4 linked regions of the Drosophila melanogaster genome follow. The protein of the gene in region 1 interacts with the protein of each later gene in a pairwise test. Each region holds a gene or a part of one and is shown in the gene's direction. Other genes may lie near its edges. The genes, in order: Obp58d, Eglp4, CG17036 and CG13077.

Region 1 (5,666 bases):
GACTCCACATCGACGATTTCGCGGCGCAGCTCCTGGATTTTCACCTGGCGCAAAATGCTCCGCCACTCCTGGTTGATTTTAGCCATATTGAGTCGACCAAAAGCATCCTCTCTTTTCAGTTTGTTCTATTTTAATGGGAAAAGTCATACCATAGGGATTTTGATTTTGATTTACTGCAAATTCGTGGTGTGTTACCTTCATGTACATGGAAATGAGCTGCATTTTCCGCCGCCTCGTCTCTTCCTCCATGTCGGCCCTCATTTGCAAATACCTGGCCCGCTCCTCCTCGGACATGTTGGCCAATTTGTTGCCTTTTCCTTTACCCTTTTTGCCCATGATTTAGTTTTTTTTTTTTACGGCTACCAAAAATCAGCTTATCAAATTTCAAAGGCCAATCTCTGACTAATTAGGCGAGCAAAGAGCCGCCTTGGAAAATAAATAATAAATTGACTGCCGGCGTTGCCATGACAAGATTCACTAGCCCACCCACTCCATATAATTTCGCTTTTCGTCGCCAGGTTTGTTGCCATAATAATGGATGCGAATTAAATTAATGCGAAACAGTGGAAAACGCCATTAGGGCTGTCCATCAAAGGGGAACCATTTGACATATAAAACTGAGGACGAACCGCTGGAAAGCTGTCATCATGCTGAGAATTGGTTTCGTGATTTGTGTGATTATATCACTGCGCTTGGTACGTACTCATAACACCGTTTTCAATTTGTTCTGGATTGGATAATGTTCGAGGGTGTTTTTAATGGATTATCCACACTAGATCGGATTTATTGTACATAATAATTTTGAAAGTTCAAGGTCCATCGGGGATCCGTATTCGAGCTACTTTTTAATCCTTTAATATGTGCATATTTCTATGCAGAATGGACTCGTGGCTGTCCGAGTTCATTGCCGGCACATGGAGCGTATTCACGAGGAGAACATCCACCATTGCTGCAAACATCAGGATGGCCACGACGATGTCACGGAATCTTGCGCCAAGCAGACCAACTTTCGTTTGCCCAGTCCCAATGAGGAGGCCATCGTGGATGTGACCGTGGACCAGGCGATGGTTGGAACCTGCTGGGCCAAGTGCGTCTTCGATCACTACAATCTGATGGAGAACAACACACTGGATATGGACAAGGTGCGCTCGTACTACAAGCGGTACCATCAAACAGATCCGGAGTACGCGACTGAAATGCTGAATGCCTACGAAAAATGTCACACACAATGTGAGCTCATGCAAAATAACCATCAACATAGTTTAAAATTGAATTTTTCCATTCCAAATTTTAGCTGAAGAGGCCACCGAAAAGTTCCTATCACTTCCAATTGTTAGGGCCTTCTCCACCGCCAAGTTCTGTAAGCCGACCTCGAGTATCATCATGTCCTGCGTCATCTACAACTTCTTCCACAATTGTCCAGCGAGTCGCTGGTCAAATACCACCGAGTGCGTGGAAACCTTGGCCTTTGCTAGGAAGTGCAAGGATGTGCTGACTACTATGTAAGCACTTTAGAGTCCTGCCTCAGGAAATACATTTTAATTGGGAAAACGAAATGATTTTCCAATGATTAAAGCAAAACAATGGCTCTCAATTCATGTGCTCTTTTGGTTTATAAGTAATGGTGGGTGATTGAATGCCAACTCAGCAATACATTTAATTAAATGGATTTATTGTTATCAAATCACTTGCAAAAATACGATATTAACTAATGTCAAGTTGATCGTATTTGTTTACCATTACATCCCTATAAAAAAAAAAACATCCAAATATACAGAATAATTCTGAATGCATAACATTTTTTCATCTAAACAAAATAATTCGAATGTCGTAAATCGTAAATTTAATGTTCTTTATTGCAGAAGAATGATATTCTCATTATTCACAAAGTAGCCAGCGAGTCCTGGCACTTCTTGCTGAAGGCCAGGGTATCCTCGCACTCCTTGGTCTTCGACCAGCGATCCGCCGGGCAGTTGTGGAAGAACTGGCGGATGACACAGGCCAGGACGACACTAGACTTCGGATCGCAGAATTGCTTGGACATTTGCTTGAAGAGGGGCTTCGACAGGAACATGGAGGTATTCTCTTCGCCTTTTGGTGAAAAAAATATCAGTTAGCCAAGAAGTTCTTGCTGAAATAACAACTCTGTACTTTTGCCGTGACAATGATCAAAGGCGTTGATCATTTCCTTGGCATATTCCGGATCGTCGGGAAACCTTTCAGTGAACAAACTTCTCACGGCATCCATGTCCAGGTTGTTGTCCTTCATCAGGTTCAGTTTGCTAAAGACGCATTTGCCAAAACAAGTGCCTCGGATGGCTCGGTCCGCCGTGATGTCCACCAGTGCCTCCTCGTTTTGATTGGGCAGCGTAAAATTGGTCTCCCTGGCACATCCTTCGATTAGATCATTGTGTCCATCGGGATGCTTGCAGCAATAGTGGATGTGGTCCTCGTTAATGGCCTCCGTATTCTCGCAATCAATTTTAATTCCACCAGCAAACTAAGTCATGTATTTGAATATATATAAACAGTGTGAATTTCATTCCTCGAACTCACCCAAATCAGGCTGAAAAAACTCAATAAAATGGTGCACTTCATTGCTCCGCCGTTTATACCAAAATCAGCCCACTACGACAGCTTATATAGTCACCCACATATCGTTTAAATAAAAACAGGAAACCGCTGCCAATTTGCCAAATGTCGAGCCATCAGACTGTCTGCAAATGTTTCTTTATCCGCTCATTTAATTCCAGTCATTACAATGGACATTTGTTACATTTAATTAAGCAATCCAATTTGGGTTTAAATTCATTTATCCAAAATGATGAGCACGCATGGTTTTATAAATGTTATGACCATGGTAAATTAATCACATTCGAAAAGCAATGGTCAACATTGTTTGTTATTGGACGTTCCTAATTCTGGTGGCCGTTTCAAAGGCTCAGGATAATGAGGAAACTACTGCAGTTGCCATATCTTCAGGTGACTTGACTGAGGATAAGTGTAACACATCGGTGAGCTTACTTTAAAACCGAACAGCAAACGTATTAAGTCTAAAAATTCAATTTAGAGGGCTGGCTGCTGTTCTGAACTTTATATAGGAGAAGAGGAGGACCTGGTCAAGTGCTTCGTTATACACTCACCCAAGTTGCCAGTGGATGGGGACGCTGACATCGGCAAGACACTGAGGTTTCTATCGGTAGGTAATTAAAGCTTTATATATCTATTATAACGAAAATATTTGTATCTTCAGTGCTTTGTGGAGTGCCTGTACAAGCAAAAGAAGTACATTGGTAAGAGCGACACCATCAACATGAAGATGGTCAAGCTGGATGCAGAAAAGACATTTGTGGATCGGCCCAAGGAGAAGGATTATCACATTGCCATGTTCGAGTTCTGTCGCAAGGATGCTGTTGGGGTCTACAACCTTTTAAAGGCCAGTCCTGGGGCTAAGGTGCTCCTGAAAGGAGCCTGTCGCCCCTATCTATTGATGGTATTCATGTGCATCAGTGACTATCATCAGAAGCACGAGTGTCCCTACTTCCGGTGGGAGGGCACTGCCAAGGCAGGAACTAAGGATATGTGCGAAAATGCCAAAGCCGAATGCTACCAAATAGATGGAATTACACTGCCCACAAAGAGTCCTGCCTAAGAATACGTATTAAAAAAACTCAAAAATGTCATGTAATAAAATTAAGCTTATAAACGCAGTATGTTTTTTAGTTTTAATCACACACCACACACATAAATTATTCGCACTGATGAATCAGTTTCAGATTCGCTTGGCTCAAGCGGGAGACCAGGATGGGCTCAACAAGCTGATTCGATCGCCAGGTGTCAAGTGGTTCGGCAATATCCGTCCGAAATTTCGTGGCAAGGACTCCCTGTTCAATTCCTATCAGACCTACAGGATATTGGCTTTTTGCACTGAATCCTCCGCATTGGTGGCCTATGCCGAGTTCCGTAACTATCCCTCCATTGCCGCTTTGCCCACGGATTGCTGGTTGGAATGGTTGTCCACCAGATACTGGTACTGATACAAGGACTTAAAACGTTGAATATATCATCTATTTCCGATATATCCTTTAGCCTATCCATGTCCATTAGCTGGCTGAATGCGTTGTTTTTCAACTTTTGCGTCTACAAGAGCGATCAGTCCCCGGTTCTGGTTGAGATCATAAAGGATGTGCTCTACAGGGAGAGCAGGGTGTGGTTTCTGATCACTGTTAGGTGTCCGTATGTGCCACAACCCATCCACTTTGTGGAAACCTTCGATGATTTGGAAAAAATATCCCAGGTCTTTTACCCGCTGGAATATAGCATGGATAAGAATAACAACACACAGTCCCTGTACATTGTGGATAGGTTCGTAATTCTGCCGAGGATTACTTACCGGAAGGCACTGTAAGCTCTGTTCTTTGTGCTCCTTGTTCAAATTGTATACTATATCAGAAATAGCATTTGAAATTTTAAATTCAAATGCCTCTTAAAAAGCAGCAGACTACTAATCAGTTTGTCTGAAATCGATATCGCCTACTAAGATATTGTTAGATATTGTTAGGCATTTGAAGAAACTGTTTCAATAACATTCTTGTTTTGTTTTAAATATTTCCCATGAAGGGCCGAAGATAACGACGATATTATAGCAATGCAAGAGGTCGAGAACCCAGAAATGCGAGAGGAGCTGGGCGACTACTACATTGCCGAGGAGGTAATGGGACAGAATCCGAAGAGTATGCTTGTTGTGGCCGAAACAATCAATCAGTCGCAGGAGTCAGAAATGGCCATCTTTCTGTGGCTGTCCTCGGATATAGACATTATGTTCTATGTGCGCAACTACGAGATGGAACAATTTGGCAATCTGGTGAAGCCAGCGGATGGAAGGTCCTTCCACTACGAGACGATGACGGTGTCGTAAGTGATGGCTTTACGTGCGGAAAGAGTAATTCCTTACCGACTGTCCTGCAGATCGGTACAGCGAAGAGCGGAGGCTAGCATGTTCACCGCAGATGCCCTCGACGATCTGAATGCGGTGACGATTCTGGGAGGACTGCAAAAGGTTGACAGCGGTATGAGGTGTGATTATTTATTAATTTGTAAGGCAAATATCCACAATGATTTATATTTCTCAACAGCGTGGCCAGCCTGGGTAAGATGAAGGTCAGCTCCATTGGCGGCACAATTGTGGATACAAATGTGGCGAATGAAAATAAGTTCTACATGCGCGAATGTCTGTACTCCAAGTTCAAGTACATTCTTGAGAGTGAGTTGTACTGCGAATGCCGGATGCTCCGTTCATAACATGGGTTTATCTAGAACTCCACAGCACCGATTACTATCTGCGGCACGAACAAAGCGTGATTAATTTTATATATCCGGCCGGAACGGAGCCCGCAGGTCCGGCGGCCATGGCGGCGGCATCAAACGTTTTCCTTCTCAGGTGCATTGTGGCACGACAGGATTTCCCACTGCCACGCCTCTTCAACGCAATGGTGGCCATTTTCAGCGCCTATCCGGACAGGGATTACTGCATGATGCTGATGTCGGTGAAGTACAAGGCGAGCAAGAGCTATCTGGAGGTGATGCAGTACTTTATGGTAGGCCAGACTTAGTTTAAGTCAACGAAATAGTTTAAAATAGTTCATACACCAGCCAGTCGCATCACG
Region 2 (6,006 bases), 900 kb from region 1:
GTTTCCATTGCCCTGATAAGCCGCACAGATAAGAAGCAGAACCTTGGGGCTAGGAAGAGGCTGCCATGGATCTTGGTCAATGGGCACTAAGGCTTCCGCCTGTGGCACCATAATGAGCTTCAATTACGATCCAGCTGGCAATTGGAATGCCATAAAGGGGTATACGTTGTTGTTGTTGCACATCAATAAGTCGGCAACCGATCACTATCGCACTTTGGAAGAGCCGTAAATGCGGGGCGATGTCAAAAGTCTGACGAGTAAATCCGATTTGAGTTGGCCCAATTATGGCCAAATTAAGCCTGTGATATTGCGCCGCCAGACACCGCCAATCCCAATACACCATCACCACTCACTCAGCTCGATATCGGTTATCAGTGCGAGTGACAGTGGTTGCGGCGTATGGTTTATGGCCAACATTTTAGGGCCACTAGCAAAAATCACTTCTTAAGCAGCTACAGCCACAGCTATCAGCAAACAGCGGGTGAGGCTTATCGGCACGGATTGATTAGCTGTTCTTCAGGCTAACAAGTTTTTTACGACGAGCTTCTGGCCGAAGGCTTATCACTCTATTACCAACTTAGTCATAATTAGCTAATAATAATGCCGCGTGATAAGGAAGCTCATCGAAAAGCTCGCCGAAAGCTAACGATCGAAGCTTCGTTAAAGTTGCGCATCCTAGCAGCTGAGCTTTTGAGAAGCTCCGAGGAGTCGCCCGTTCTTATCGCACCGCTCTGTTAATTAACAGTCCCCACTTCCGTTAACATCAGCGATTAGCACTCCCCAAAATATGAACGTAGAAACGCCCAGTCACGTCCCATCACTTAGACAAACGCTGAGAATGGATCATAATAATTAAGATCCATCATCCCAAACGGGGTTTGTTGTCAATTAGGCCCTCGGGCCATTGAAAATCGTGGCCCATGCAGCGATCCCATGGATGATACGTGATCCTTCTGGGCATGGAAAATATGATAAAGGTGCAGGTGGTAATTAAATTATTATTATTATTATTGTGCTGCCGATCGGATGGTGTGTTTGATTTATTTTTAAACTTTCGATCCATCGCGTGTTTACTGCTTTGCCTTTAATCTCTTTGTCTCTTGCCAAAACGTGTCGCTCTCTTTTGACCAACCAACTGTCAATGAGTTGGCCAAACACAAACATTTGCCGTTGGCCAAGGGCCAAAACGCAAATGAACCAGCAGTGCTATTTTCTCCACCGTTTTCTGTGGCAATGCCAATGTGTGTTATGGCGAGAAAGCAATGGAAAACATTAGGCGTGGTCAGTGAGGGTCAAAAGTTCTGATCACCTGAGCCACTGTGTGTACTGGGTGTGTGTGCAACAGCAGGGCTTTTGAAAATATTTGCTTTAAATTGTTATTATTTATTGACGATCCAATTGTTATTGAGACACATAACTACGCAAATTGCGTGCAATTTGATCGACAGGCGTGCCGAGATTTGCCGTGATTTGTTTGCCACATTGCGTGGTAGCCCGATTCACGCAACGCATCCTCAATTGCAGCAATTGCAATTGATAGGAATCGAAGCGACGGTGGTAATTGATAGTGTGCCACTCTGCTGTTATCAATACGCAATATGCCGCCTGCTTCAATTGCGAGCGCGTCACGCACTTGCACAGCATAACAGTGTTATGCCCACCGCCCACCGACCAACTACACTGAAAATAATTATGGGGATTTTCGCTATCAATTACAGTTTAGTGCTAAGTTTGAATGACACGCAATGAAAATGTCGTATTTTAGGAACTATGGTTACTACTAATTCTAGCAATCATTGCTTAGCAGATTTGCCTTTCTCATGGCAAACAAATAGTAAGAAACAAGTTAAATGAAAATGATAATTTACTTAAAAAACAAATGTAAGGACCACCTTTAATATTATAATTCTCATAAAATGCTGTGAATAAGTCGAATGAATTCGATAGAGCAAAACCAGTATGTCAGTTGCACACCAAGTGTTAATATCTAACCTTGTTTCCATGGAATATCATCCGTATTGTTTCTACCATTTTATAATGATTTAAGCCAGGTGACTGGTAAAGGAAGAGTGGGAGCGAGAAGGAGCATCGCTCCAGAGATAATCGCAAAAGCGAACGAGAGCAGCGAATGAGCGTTTAAGATGCTCATAAATTCTGGACACTTGACTTTTTTATGCTCACCAGTAGGATTCGCTAATTTCCACGCCTTTGTGTGTGTGTGTGTGTGTGTGTGCTTGTGGTCGGTCCCCTTCATATGTGTGTGTGTGTATCTGTGTGTGTTGCTGCTCTCTCACAGGGGCTAAAAATGGGCTTTTGATTTACGCAATATTATATAGACACAGATATAAATATTTGCCTATGGCTACTCCACCGCCTCAGATTGACATTGACAGTCGCGCTGCCGCTTTGTGAATTTTCACCAGCTACGGAAAAGATTGATTATATAGTGCGATCTCAAAGAATTGGACAAGTGTCAAAATGAGCCACGAGATTCGGTAATTATCTGGCACTCGAAACCAAAGAAATTCAAAAAACAAAAAACAAGAGTTCTGGCTACCAGAAAGAGGGATTTACCAATCACAATAAACGGATTAATTCGCAACGTAGTGAACTCCAATTGACTCGAGTGGCGCTCAGGCGATAAGGTTGAAAAAGATTGGTTATTGTTTTATGGCCATGTCGTGATTTGATTCGCATTTTTTCGGCCATTTATCTATAAACCCAATTGACAGCCGAACGGCAATCACAAGTCTACTATATTTAGTACACGGCTACTTCATGTCAGTCCAGCCATCGATGGCATTCCCGCAGCAGGCATCGTTTGTCGGATCAGCAGCATAAGTTGTGCTTCCAAAAAAGGGTGTTTGGAAAATCGATGCCAAGTCAATGAACCTCGAGCAGCAGGGGATGGATCCGCAAGGGGTGGAAAACCAGCAGGAAATCGTCCAGGCAGCCGAAGGAGAACAGCAGTTGCAAAGGTCTAGAAGCTTGACAAACTAACTACAAAGTTGCACAATAGTTGAGATTGTAGAAGTGTGTCGCGGGGATTAGGTGCAAATCGAGGAGGGCTTTGCGAAACGATAGGATGGTCTTAGATAGGATATGATTGATGAAGTTCCTAAGCAGGTCTACTTAGAGTCGAGAAAGAGATGGACGATGGCGTGCGACAGAGAGGGTAGCTCGCTTTTTAGTGTGGCATTATTCAAGCGCTTCTCTGACCATTTCAGTTGCTGTAAGGTCTTCAAAATGAAGGGATCGACGCTGGACAAAATCTCCGCCTTCCTCGGCGAGCTCATCGGCACCGGCATCCTGGTCTTCCTGGGCTGCATGGGTTGCGTGAAGACGGACCTCTTTCCCAACAACCATCTGCAGATTGTGCTGAACTTCGGCTTCGCCGTCCTCATCGCCATCCAGTGCTTTGGCTGCGTCTCCGGTGCCCATCTGAATCCCGCCGTGACCGTGGCCGCCTACATCTACGAGATGGTCACCCTGCGCATGGCATTTGCCTACTTCGCCGCCCAGATGCTGGGCGCCTTCATCGGCTACGGCCTGCTCATGGTCCTGCTTCCCTCGCCCACACTTACGGTGGGCGCTGGGCTCTGCGTGACCTTGCCCCACACCAGCGTAACCACGGGCCAGGCCCTCGGCATCGAGTTCGTAATCACCTCCATCCTGGTCATCGTCTGCTGCGGAGTGTGGGATCCGCGCAACTCCAAGTTCCATGACTCCGTGGGCATTCGATTTGGCCTGGCCATCGCCTGTCTCGCCTGCGCTGCCGTAAGTTAAAGCGAACAGTTGGCTAATCCTTACCTGCCTCGAAACGGATTATTAACCTCGTTCCCTACCATTGGTTTTAGGGTCCCTTCACCGGCGGCAGCATGAACCCGGCCAGGTCGTTCGCCCCCGCCCTGTGGAACAAGCACTTCGAGAGCAACTGGATCTACTGGCTGGCCCCGCTGAGCTCCTCCGCCATCACCGCCTACGCCTACAAGGTCGTCTTCCGCCGCGAGGTGGTTGAGGCGGAGATCACCTCCAATGAGAAGCTGCGGCAACTGGAGGACGTCCAGCTGTCGTAAGGCCAAAGACATTGCTGTAGGAAAAGCCCTAACTAATTTAGTTAATATCTAAGATGCCGAATTTTAAAATAATGCATTCGTTGTACGCTAATGTTAGCAGTGTCTTCACAAAGTGGCTCGAACGTTTCAAAAGGCGAACCAAGTGCACACACTTACATAAGCCCTTGAAACGATAAACGTCTTGGTGAAAACACTAATTGCCTTCAGAAATAAAGAACATCGAGATTTTTAATCTAAAACCAAAACAAAACAAGTAAATTATTTTTATGGTTTTAAGAAATTCTACACAAGATATTGGTAGTTATTTGATACCTGAAGTTCTGCTCTTCTGGGCCATCTTAAAACATGTTGAGTCCATATTATCTAAAAGCTTTTCATTCTTCAATAACGAGGTATTTGCTTTGATTAGCTCTAAGTAACTTCCGGGCTTAAAAATACCAATAAGCTTTTTCCAGGAATCGAAAGTGAAAAAAGCCCATCAGCTTAAGCGGTCTTTGGAAAATCTGTTCATAAGATATTCGAATATCTTAGTACCTCCAAATCGACCAATCAAATGGTGGCTAAAAAACGTTATCAGCAGGCTGCGAATGAGACGCGCGTATCAGCCAAATAAAGCCAAAATATACCAACAATATGCAGTTATTGTACGTTACGTACTCCATTCGGGTCTATAGTCCGTATACGAAGCACAAATGATATATGTGGTTCTATGTGGTTTAAAGGGGACTATGTGCTATGGGTGATATGCTAATGCTGGATTTGCATCACTCTTCTGGAATTTCTGGAAATCACGGGGTGATTCCTTCGAGTAGCTTTCGAACACCATAGGCCAGGTTTATTGGCCTTGTTGTAGCGATTCAGACACTGGCTGGCACACAAGAAGTACGAGTATTGGCCAGGTCTCGGCGACCCCGTTCGCCGTTCGATAAAGATCTTAATGAGATAAGATTGAGCACAAATCGGGCGAAATGGCAGTGGCGCTTATCAGGCCGATAATTACGGCTGAGCAAAGCCCCCCGAAAATCGCCTTGATGGATTGATCCATCCTGAATGGGTGGGCGGGAGCTGCTCCCAAATCTGCGCTCGATAATTAGCATTAAGGTTTTATAATGGATTTTGATTGATTGCCGTAAATTTTGCTGGCACGTTGGGTCACTTGGGCAGCCGCCCAAAATTGCGGCAGTAGAGTTCCGTCAGCATGTCGCAACAGAAGCAAAAATCGCAGGAGTCCAATCCGAACGCCAGGTGGCGCCTGGAAGGACACCAAAGGAGTGCGATAGCCTGCTTCTTCGGTGAACTGGCGGCGACTGCCGTCTTCGTTTTCATAGCCTGCATGGGCTGTGTGGAAACGCCGCTGTTCCAGAATTCGCACTTTCGCAGTGGCCTCACCTTCGGCCTGGCCATTCTCATCGCCATCCAGTGCTTCGGCTCCGTTTCCGGTGCCCACTTAAATCCGGCCATCACCCTGGCTGCCTGGCTCTACGGCGCAATCGGTTGGATCCGGGCCATTGCTTACTTTGTGGCCCAGGCTGCCGGAGCCCTGATAGGCTATGGTCTCCTGGTGGCTGTTCTGCCTGGGAACTCCATCAAGGGTGTGGACAACCCGTCGGGTGTTTGTGTGACAATTCTGGCCCCCGGAATCAGCGTACTTCAGGGGGTCTTCATCGAGTTCCTCATTACCTGCTGCCTGGTCATGGTGGCCTGTTCGGTGTGGGATCCACGGAACGCCAAGCTGCAGGATTCGGTGCCCGTGAGATTCGGTCTCACCGTCTCCTGTCTGATCCTCACAGCGGTTGGTATTTCGGTGCGTTTCAAAGTTGCGAAGTGTTACTTAATGGGAAGTCTGTTGCTTTTAGGGTCTCTTCACGGGAGCCAGCATGAATCCGACCAGATCACTGGGTCCAGCTGTTTGGAACGACTCCTGGGCACA
Region 3 (4,455 bases), on another chromosome or scaffold:
GAGTTGGGTGCACCCAGCTCTCAGGCAAGGCTGGAAATTGTACGATGCCTCATCAAGTCAGTGGAGCATCAGTTGAGCGATGAGGAAGTGGAGCACGTTGCATCTATTACCCATGGCTACGTGGGAGCAGACTTAGCAAATCTCGTTTACGCTGCCATGCTGCAGGCGCAACCGAATCCTCTACAGATGCCGCATCTACAGGCGGCTTTGACCCGCATTAAACCATCGGCGATGCGTGAAGTTCTCATCGAGTGTCCCAATGTGCAGTGGTCCGACATTGGCGGTCAATCCGAGCTACGTTTGGCCATGCAGCAGGCCATCGAGTGGCCACTGCTGCACGCGGATAAGTTCCAACGCCTGGGTATCAAGCCACCCAGGGGTATCCTCATGTTTGGACCGCCAGGCTGCTCGAAAACCATGATTGCCAAGGCCCTGGCCACCGAGAGCAAGCTTAATTTTCTGTCCATCAAGGGACCAGAGCTCTTTTCCATGTGGGTGGGCGAATCGGAGCGAGCGGTGCGTGAGGTCTTTCGAAAGGCTCGCCAGGTGGCACCCGCCATAGTTTTCTTCGACGAAATCGACGCCATCGGTGGCGAGCGTTCGGAGGGCGACGGATCCAGCTCTGGTTCGTCCGTAAAAGAGCGCGTCCTCACGCAACTGCTCACCGAACTGGATGGCGTGGAGGCACTGCAAAATGTCACCATAGTCGCTGCCACCAATCGTCCAGATATGATCGACAAGGCACTGCTTCGTCCAGGCCGAATTGATCGAATTCTCTACGTGGGACTACCGCAATGTGAAGCACGTAGAGAGATCTTAAAGATCAAACTGCGTGCCATGCCGATATCAAACGATGTGGACATGGAGAAGTTGGTGCAGCTGACGGAGGGATATTCCGGTGCAGAAATACAAGCCGTATGCCATGAGGCTGCCCTGAGAGCCCTGGAGCAAAGCTTCGAAGCGGAGGATGTCAAGTGGACGGACTTCGAGCACGCCTTGAAGGCGGTGCCTCCGCGGACTTCTCCAGAGTTGTTGAAACTCTACGAAGATTACCTCAAACGGAAGTAGATTAAACAACTCAGGGGAACCTTGACTTTAGAACTATTTTAAGATTAATTGTGAAGAATCCGCAAAACAGTGACGATAAGATTACCGAAAGCAAATCTGCTTAATTTGTTTAAACAAATTACCATGTTATTAGCTCTCCAAAATCTGTTCACTCGATCAGCCTTCAAATCGGAGTTATGTATGTAGTTATGTAAGTTATGTAAAGTAGAACCGATTAGAGGGTCGACTTTGGTGTTTAGACAGTTCTGAAATTCATATTTAGTGCCTGCAGATTAGACTACAAAGATAAGATGGCTATAGCAGAACTATCGGTGATAACTTGAATGCTCTATTTTTAACCTCTAAATTCAAAGAGTATCATTCTCTCGATTGTGAATATCAAGAGCAAACGTTGAGCTTTCAACAAATTTCCAATTAATGCGTCACTTAATTGTCAATAAATTGATGGGGAACAATCCAAGAATCTTAATTTTTGTTGCTGTGCGATAAATTTGCTTACTCGACAATTACCGAAATAAAACTTATTTAAAATTTACAACTTTCACTGCTCCGTGATCTGTAACCAAATCTATAAATTTGTCAAGTTGTAATTATAGAAATTCTCCAAATTAATTGAATGTAGATAAATGTATATTTCACGGTCTTTTGAGGTCATACTCGTACAGTAGCGGCCATAAATATATGAAGTGTTCAATTTTGTGAATAACACCAAAATCAATATTAAGTTATGTTTTTTAGTGGCCCTAGCATTAACAGTTAACGGTCATTGAACTTGGGCGCATGATTTAAACATTTGTATGTATGTGTGTAAATATATTAAACAATATACGAATTTTATGGCCCAACAGTAGCTTAAATTAATTGTTTTACGAATTTGCAGTGCTTTGGATATAAGTTCATATGTGCATATCTTTTCCAACAACTTTTGAAATATTGAATGTAAAATATATTTTATATAGCGTTTTTCTTCTAAAAATAATACTATTTGTTGATAGTTTATTTTTTAAGTATATTAAATATATATTTTTTTGTGATAATATAGTTGATTGTATAGTTGTAGTAATCGTTGGAAATAATTTTATATGCCTGTCATATTGAATGTTGCTGTTTTCTTATGATTTTTTTTGAACCCCTTAAAATTCACCTGATTCTGGTTTTCCGGTTGTTGTGGGTGAATACTGCTGGCCACCACTGTAGCCGCTTTGGCGGAGAGCGATGGGCTACCAGGCGCTCTTGATTCGCGCGATCAGTTGCCGGCTGGCGTTCGTCGCGTTGGTTACGACACTTATCAATTGGCGAAACAACTGGCGCCGGATTGGAGCTTGGAGTTTCGAGTCTCCATGCGAACAGCCCACCTGGTATCGCAATTTACGACATGAAGAGCTGGCTGAAGATCTCGCTGCTGCTGTGCACGTTTGGCTTTTTCCGGGAGTTTCGACCTTCGGAGCCGTACGTCACAGAGTACCTAGCCTCGGATTATGGCAACCTGACGACGGATCAAATCTATCAGGATGTGTATCCCTTCGGCACGTACTCGGTGCTGGCCCAGCTGGTAATTGTGTTCCTCATCACAGATCTGGTGAGGTACAAACCGGTTATCGTGCTATCGGCACTGGCTGGCATTACCCTGTTCTCCATGCTTATCTGGACGGAAACCGTGGGAATGCTGCAGGTGGCCCAAGTGTTTTTTGGCACCTTTACGGCCGCTGAGGTGGCCTACTACACGTACATGTACGCCAAGGTCAACAAGGAGCAGTATCAGGTAGTCACGGGCCACACGCGAGCTGCCATCTTGAGCGGCAAGTTCCTCGGCGGCCTGTTTGCCCAGATTTTGGTGTCCACCGATAGCATGGATTACCGGCAGCTGCACTACCTCTCGCTGGCCACGCAGCTAATCTCCCTGGCCGTGTCCCTGTTCCTGCCCAGTGTGCCGCGTAGCCTCTACTTCTACGCGGGTTCCGAGAAGATTACCATTGCCGACGGAGAAGAGACCTCACCAAAGTTCTCCTTTGCCAACGCATGCCGCCTGCTGTGGTACCACCTCGTTAGTTCCTACTCCAATCCCGTCGTGCTGCAGTGGAGCATATGGTGGGCATTGGCCACCTGTGGTCAAGTTCAAGTAAGTTGGCCGTTTATTGCAAGAAGTTAAGTGTGTAATAAACTAATTATGTTAAATCCTCTAGGTGATCTCCTACATCCAGTTCCTGTGGAAAGAGGTGGCACCGAATAAGCTCAGTGTTTACAATGGCGGAGTGGAGGCCGTGGCCACGCTGCTGGGTGCTATTGGAGCCATTCTGGCGGGCCTGCTGAACTCCAATAAGCGACGGGGATCGTATATGATGGGCATATCCATCTGTGCCGCTGCCCTGGGCGCTCTGCTCATCTATGCCGCCAAGACGCAGTTGATCTGGGTGGCCTACGTGAACTATGTGCTTTTCTGCACCGTATTCTTCTTCATCATCACGGTGGCGGGTGCCGTGGTGGCCGAGAATCTGGTGGAGGACAGTTTCGGCTTGATCTTCGGTATCAATACGTTGGTGGGTCTGATCCTGCAGACTATTCTGACCGTTGCGGTTGTGGAGCGAGTTGGATTCGCTCTGGAGCCGCGGGATCAGTACGTGGTTTACGGTAGCTACTTTGTGGTCTTGGGTGGAATATCCATAATTGGGTCTATCTGCGTGAAACTGTTTTGCAGGACTAACAAGTCGAGTGTGGAAAATGTGGTTTCTTTAACATAAGATAATATAGGATTTTACACAAATCAAAACAGGACGAAATGTGCAAGTTTGTAAATACAGGACTTCTTATTTACTATCTTATTTATTCAAACAACATAGTATATAAGAAATTCCATCAATTAAACAAACTAGTACAAAGGTAAAAAGTTAAATCAGTTGTTGAGCAAAGAATTTGCTTTCCATAAAGTTAAACTTTACAGAAATAAAACATAAATGAAAGTCTAAGCTACTATTAAATTGAAAGGCTTTTAATATTTTTTGATATCTACACCAAATACTGAAACATTTAATATTTATCTAACACATTACTTAATATTTGTACTAAGTAGCCTATTGCAGTAGCAGGTCCATCTCCTCCGCATTCGAGGACATGAGATCGCGCTCCAAACTGGTGGTGGCTGCAGTCGCCTGGTTCAAGAACAAGTCGAAATCGTAGCCATCATTTTGGGCAGCAATGGAGTCCTTTTGGTTGCTAATGGTCTGCGGATTGGAGAGCAGATCCACATCGTACAGGCCCAGCTCCTTGAGCAACGTTTCGTTCTCGCTGGCGGATTGTAAGGTGGACGAATCAACGGACGCCTTGGCCGCTTCCACATTTATAATTGCCGCCGGCTGTTCGACAGCCTCGAAACCGCAATCGACTTGCGAA
Region 4 (6,139 bases), on another chromosome or scaffold:
GAATATGGCCGTTTTGGAGGTGTCCTTGATCTCTGGATACAGCTCGGATAAATCGAGCTTCAAGAGAATTCGGGATGTCGAAGGAGTTGGGGTGAGTTTGCAACTCTTTGAATGATAATATAACCCCGTCAAATTATCCATTTTTCACGCAGTCCGTGGATACCAAGAATGAAGACTCCGTGGTCATTGTCCACTTCGAAAGTCTGGCCAAGAATGAAAGCAAATGCATTCCCGTCGAGGCGTACATAACACATGAAGTGACCAATTTTAAGCCTTCCAGTTTAGTTATCTATGATAATTATGGCCGGAAGGCAACCGAATATTATCAATATTAAAATTGGAGCTCGACGACTTTAAAGGCACTTAAAGTTCCAGTCTTGAGTCCACAGCCTCGTAAATCAAGCCGTGTCATATTAATCAGGGCACCACGCTTCCAATAGCCCGCATTTTTATGGTACTACTCAAAGTCAAATCCAATATACCTTAATCACCTTCAATGTCAGATCGCCGATATGAAACCGCTGAGTCAGCAAAAAGTATTTGTAAACATTGCGCTAGCTAATTTGATCAAAATGAGTATGGTTTATCACAACCACAGTGCTTAAGGCGCGTGGATGGTTCAGAATCTATCTGTTTCGGTCTTAGTGACTTATTGACTGGCTAAGGTTCAACTTGCCTGCTCAGACATTTGGCCCAAAGACATCAACAATGTTTCTATATTTTCAAGTAGGTGGTAACTTTTATCTGGTACGTGCGATTTTGCATTCCGATAAGGCGCTGCTGACTTGCGATCCGACAGGAGGACTACATGAGTATTATGTATATTATCAATAAGTGGATCGCGAGTGGGCGAGCACTCGAGTGACGAGAGTCTAATTAATATTAATAACCCCTCTAAATTTAGACCCCGGCTCATGACGTTTTCGTGGAATGTTCAACGTGAGTGCGATCGCATATTCGAGCGCCCGTGAATGGTAATCCTGTTTTACTTCGGTGCCGAAAGCCCCGGCATCGATGCGTGAATGAATGGATGTCGATAAGGTCGATTAGATCTCCTCGCCGACGATACTGCGAACGTGTACATGCAGCCCCGACCACTCAATAATATTGTATAATCCTTTAAGTCAACTGCATTAGAATGGGGCACCCAAAATGTTTCGCTGATAACTCGATAGCAAACAAATTGTATGTCAGTCTAGTGAAAGTCACAAAGCCATTGTGAAGGCAATAAAAACCTCAGTTGCGCATAGTGGCTTGTAATAGCTAATGCACGGCGGATCGATAGTCGAAAAAGGTAGTTCACATAAGGAAGAATCCTTAAAAATCCTTTGAATTTTGAAACAAAAGGCTCTATTCATTTATTTATTGGAAAACGATTAATAAGAATCCTTAAAAAGGATATTTAAGCGATTCCTGGCAACTACAATAGGAATTTAAAGGTTGCATCTTTTCCTAGAATTTATATGAAACTAGGTTAAAAACATACAACTTTTGTGAAATTAAACTACAATAACAGTGTTTGTGAAATTAAAATTAAAATTTCCAATTTCTTGAAATTTCAATTACCAATTTCTTGAAATTGCAATTACAATTTCTGTGAAACAATTCTAAAGCAACGCCACAATGAGCGATGACAAAACAAAACCAACCTCAGTGCTCCAGCATATAGAATCGGCGCTATATGTGATCAACCAGCTGTGCATAGGATTCGTCACCATTTGGATCAGCTGGACCTGCTTGCGCCAGGACCTCTCGGGCATTCGCCTGCATGCCTGGCTGGTTACCTTCGGTTTTGTGTTCCTGATGGCCGAGGGAATGATGTGCTTCTACGACGGCAGTTGGCTAACTGTGCGTTACTCCCGGAATTACAAGACTGCCTTTCACGTGGTCCTTCAGATCCTTGGGGGAGGCATGGGCGTGGCCGGCTGTTTGATTCAACTAATACGTGACGATTGGTCAATCAGCGTCACGTTACATGCCCGCCTGGGTTTCGCCGCCTTCGTCCTGTGTCTGATCTCATTGCTGAGTGGACTGGTCGCCTTCCTGGCGAGATGCCTGAGCAGGACCATCTCACCCTTGGTCAACAAGACCTTCCATGTGGTCCTCAGCTTCACCGCCTTCGTGATCGCCATGATGGCGCAGTTTTACGGATACACACAGACTGGAATTTTCAGGGGACAAGGACAGGATTTCGTTGTCCTCATGCAGGTCGTCACTATGGTCCTAATGGTCCTAACCAGCATTGGCGCCATTAAGTCGCTCTACCAGAAGATTGGTAGCCTGGCCAGTTAGGAACGCCTGTCGATTATCCCTAATCCTGTATATCTATAGTGCACTTAAGCTAAGCTAGACTATTTGCTATTTATATATTAAACTAATGTTATCATAAGGATAAATCAAATGACTAAGAAAAAAATAAAAAATGACTACGACTTATTTACATTAAAATATATCGTTTTTTTGGGTTTTTCTCTAAGTTCCAAAAAAAGAATGTGTTTCACAATTTAACTAAAACAAACGACCGTGTTACTGTCAAAAAATAAAATATGTCAAGCAAGAATTGCTTTTATCAGTTAAATAAATATTAAATATTTGGTTTTCTTCTTGCAAAGAGAAGGGGGGCTTACGTAGCACCTTAAAGTATAAAAACGTAATTGCAAAAGATAACTACGCATACGCTCACTTGCAAAAGATAAATGTTATGGCACCCAAATAAGCAATTTAGGTATGCAACGTATTTTGAGGGGTTGGCAATCCGTCCAATTCTAAAGCTTTCTTTATGGGTTTTTTTATGGAATAAAAAAGAAACTCTCAATAAAAAGCAACGTACTTTTAGGAACCAACGCAGTACCAAATATTGCACATTGACTTAGATATATATAGATATTTTAGAGCTAAACGGCCATCACTGTTGCATTAAATTTTAGTTTAGTGTTGATAAGTGCAAATTGAAACGAATACCTATCGCAGCAAGACTTTGCGCGGCATCGCAAATTTGAAAATGGCATACGAGCGAAGGTCTAGTTGCGGTTTTGGCTGCACTTTGATAGCTTCCCGGAGCGTAAACCGATATGAATAGGAATGGCGAGTTAAATAATCTTGTGGTCAAGTCCAGTCAACTTGTAAATGACGCTGCAAGAATGGCTTCGCCAGTTGCTCATAAACATTCGACCAAATGGTTTGATTAACCAAGTTCATTGAGCGTATCGTATCGGTCGAATTCTAAAACTTTAATTGCTGTCGTAGCTTGAGCACACGACTGGTTTTGCCAATAATAAAAAATTTGCCGCAATTTGTCTGTGAAAAGTGGCAGGCATTATTATCAGTCGACAAATGTATGAATGTTAACACGAAAATAACATTATTCCAGCGCGCACTGATAAAGGCCGGCAAGCGAAAAACTGAAAACTGAAACTACACAATGTCCGAGAGTAAGCAGCCAGTGCTTAGTAGAACTCAGACATCCGCCGACTACGGCAGCACGCTCCGGACGGATACGCCACGCCGACCCACATTTATTCCGATCGAATCCCCGCGTCGCTATTCGAAAATGGCCCACGGTTCCCTGTCCGGCCACGAGGCCGAGAATCGCCTCCAGAGACTGGAGTACTTCCTTAACGTTCTCAACCAGATGTGCATTGGATTTATCACCATCTATATTTCCTATCTCACGCTGCGAACGGGGCTCTCGGGCACGGGTCTGCATGCCTGGCTAGTGACCATCGGGGTAAATAGTTGGGGGATCACCATCACCGTCTAAGCGGGCACTGAAGATCTTCATTCCACACCACAGTTCTCCTTCTTCATGGCCGAGGGCGTCATGATCCACTACGGCGGCAATGTGCTGACAAATGGATACAAGCGCCAGACGAAGACCACCATTCACTGGGTGCTCCTGACTTTGGGAGGCGGTTGCGGGGCAGCTGGTGCTCTTATCAAGATGATTCAAAAGGGGTTTTTGCTGCAATCGACACATGGGAGGCTGGGTGAGTAGAGTACAGACACGCACAATGCCTATTAAATAGCAGCAGATGTCTAATACATTAGAATAAAACAGTGGAATAGAATAGTTCCAAGGATCCATTTCTTGGTGCTTCCCAGTCTAAGCTAGTACTTAATTTGTTATTTGTTGAACAAACGCCCCCATTTTCCATATTTACTTTAGTTTTATCGCTTTCTTACTATCTTTTTAGTAGTACATTTAATGATCACCTAACAGGCAACAAAAATCCTAAAAGGCACTCACTAATAGATTCCCTTCTCGCCAACAGGGATGACCGCCTTCGTACTGTGCATTCTGGCCATGTCCTCGGGACTGGCTGCACTTTTCTCCAGCCGCATCAAGAAGCTAATCACACCATTGCTGAACAAGACGTTCCACAACTTCCTGGGATTCGCGTGCTTTGTGATCGCACTGGTGACCCAGTACTATGGCTACCAGACGGGCTACTTTAAGAGCCGAAGTGAGACGGATTTCCAAATCCTGATGAAGTGCCTCACCCTCATATCGTTGGTCCTGTCGAGCTACGGACCGATGAAGGCACTCTATCAGAAATGCAAAAATATATCGCAACAGTTTTAGATAGGATGAAAAGAATCACTCGAATGTATGTAGATAAATAAATGTAATTTTTTCTAAAACCCCATTTTATCGACCTATCCAACTATACCAACAACGATTCAAAATTTTATACCTGTTTATTGGTACAACGTGTGATCCATAAACATGACTAAGTATTTTTACAATGCCTCATTAGGGAAAACCCGGTTAACCAGCGGTCAGACTTTCATCGTCCGGTACTCCCCCCTGTAAAAGTTATATAACCACCCTTTTGATTGATTTGATTTGATAAGGTCTGAAAAAGTAATGAATTGACTATTAGATACACTGCAATTTGCATTTAAGTTTAACCGCTCACTCAAAAAGCCAGCATTTGAATTAATCAATCAAAATTATGATCATTTATAATTTAAGTTATACTATTATTCATTTTCCTATAACAGCATTGGGTAGCATGCATCATTTTAAAATCCAAAACATGACCGGGTTTTTTATCTGATCGGTTTGTGACACTTGGAGGCCGCATAATTGATAGTAACTGTCCCAAATAAGTCCAAACTTTTGAAGCCCCGTAAAAAGAAGATCTTGACTTCCGGCACCTTAAATTAAAAAACCGTGTATTTTGCATGGTGCAGTTTCGTATGTTTATTTAGAAAATCCATATCATTTCTTCTTAAATCTCTCGCAATAAATAATACTTGGCGCGTGTGTCGCGTTGTGTGTGTGATACGTATATCAGTTAGCAGTAATAATAAATAGCTAGCGTTAGGTATTAAAATTCATAGTCAATTGGGTAATACAAGGCTGTCTGGCTTTAAAACCCCCTTTCTGGGTAACTTTTGGTAAGAGAAAGTCAAGATCTCTATATAGAATCGGGTGAACAGATCTTTAGCATGCGGTAGGTAAATAGGAGTTATCAGCTATCGACTAAAGCCCAGTTAAGAATTGTGTGTTGGGCAAGGCATATTCGAAATTCGACTTTCTATATCTTTTCATAGTTTCCATAGTTCGCTCCGCTCACAGCTTGTTGCTGCGTCGAATGGCGAAGGACATTAGCGCGTGCTCCAGCCGCATGTGGTAGGGTAGCTTGCGCTCCAGAATGACTGGCTCCTGGCCATCTGGACAGCACCGGTTGCGGCAGCACTCGCACTGGCCGTCGTCATCGTCGTATTCCTGCTGCAGTTCCTGCTCCAGTTCGTAGGCCTTCTTGGCAGCCCGCTGCTCGAAGCGCAAATAGAAGGCCAGGCAGACAAACAGCATAAATACCAGGGCACACATGGCTCCACTGGCAATGCTCGCCTTCTCCAACATCGGACGCGGCCTCTTGGGCAGGTAAGTATTGTCGATCTCCTTGTATTCGCATCGCTGTCCCATAAAGCCAATCGCGCACTCGCAGCTGTAAACCGGTAGATCGGCTATCTTCACCGCAAAGCAATGGGCATCGTTCAAACAGTACCAGGCATCGAAGGTTTCCGGACATTTGTATGTGGGGAATGTAATATTGGGCCTGGGCGTGGTCGTCGTGGTGGTGCGCATTGTGGTGCTACTAGTGACTGGAGCCTGGGTCGGCGGCAATGC

The links.
Region 2: the proteins of Obp58d (region 1) and Eglp4 interact in a two-hybrid assay, tested with the Drosophila melanogaster proteins (one large-scale study listed by BioGRID).
Region 3: the proteins of Obp58d (region 1) and CG17036 interact in a two-hybrid assay, tested with the Drosophila melanogaster proteins (one large-scale study listed by BioGRID).
Region 4: the proteins of Obp58d (region 1) and CG13077 interact in a two-hybrid assay, tested with the Drosophila melanogaster proteins (one large-scale study listed by BioGRID).

The regions. Positions count from the first base shown.
Region 1 is NT_033778.4:22,704,063-22,709,728, forward strand, and holds Obp58d (Odorant-binding protein 58d), read left to right. Parts: upstream 1-2,871; 5' UTR 2,872-2,885; coding exon 2,886-3,014; intron 3,015-3,070; coding exon 3,071-3,199; intron 3,200-3,253; coding exon 3,254-3,652; 3' UTR 3,653-3,710; downstream 3,711-5,666. Other genes in the region: CG30259 (uncharacterized protein), read right to left, coding at 1-125, 196-336; Obp58b (Odorant-binding protein 58b), read left to right, coding at 648-695, 879-1,230, 1,295-1,506; Obp58c (Odorant-binding protein 58c), read right to left, coding at 1,883-2,091, 2,152-2,500, 2,557-2,598; CG30275 (uncharacterized protein), read left to right, coding at 3,762-4,030, 4,090-4,404, 4,621-4,914, 4,969-5,076, 5,136-5,263, 5,317-5,597, 5,653-5,666.
Region 2 is NT_033778.4:23,605,903-23,611,908, reverse strand, and holds Eglp4 (entomoglyceroporin 4), read left to right. Parts: upstream 1-2,978; 5' UTR 2,979-3,102; coding exon 3,103-3,777; intron 3,778-3,857; coding exon 3,858-4,076; 3' UTR 4,077-4,317; downstream 4,318-6,006. Other genes in the region: Eglp3 (entomoglyceroporin 3), read left to right, coding at 5,275-5,868, 5,933-6,006.
Region 3 is NT_033779.5:12,698,503-12,702,957, reverse strand, and holds CG17036 (uncharacterized protein), read left to right. Parts: upstream 1-2,211; 5' UTR 2,212-2,443; coding exon 2,444-3,187; intron 3,188-3,251; coding exon 3,252-3,806; 3' UTR 3,807-3,955; downstream 3,956-4,455. Other genes in the region: CG5776 (uncharacterized protein), read left to right, coding at 1-1,068; PICK1 (protein interacting with C kinase 1), read right to left, coding at 4,137-4,455.
Region 4 is NT_033779.5:19,562,715-19,568,853, forward strand, and holds CG13077 (uncharacterized protein), read left to right. Parts: upstream 1-3,148; 5' UTR 3,149-3,421; coding exon 3,422-3,727; intron 3,728-3,793; coding exon 3,794-3,986; intron 3,987-4,271; coding exon 4,272-4,582; 3' UTR 4,583-4,645; downstream 4,646-6,139. Other genes in the region: CG13078 (uncharacterized protein), read left to right, coding at 1,624-2,292; spi (spitz), read right to left, coding at 5,579-6,139.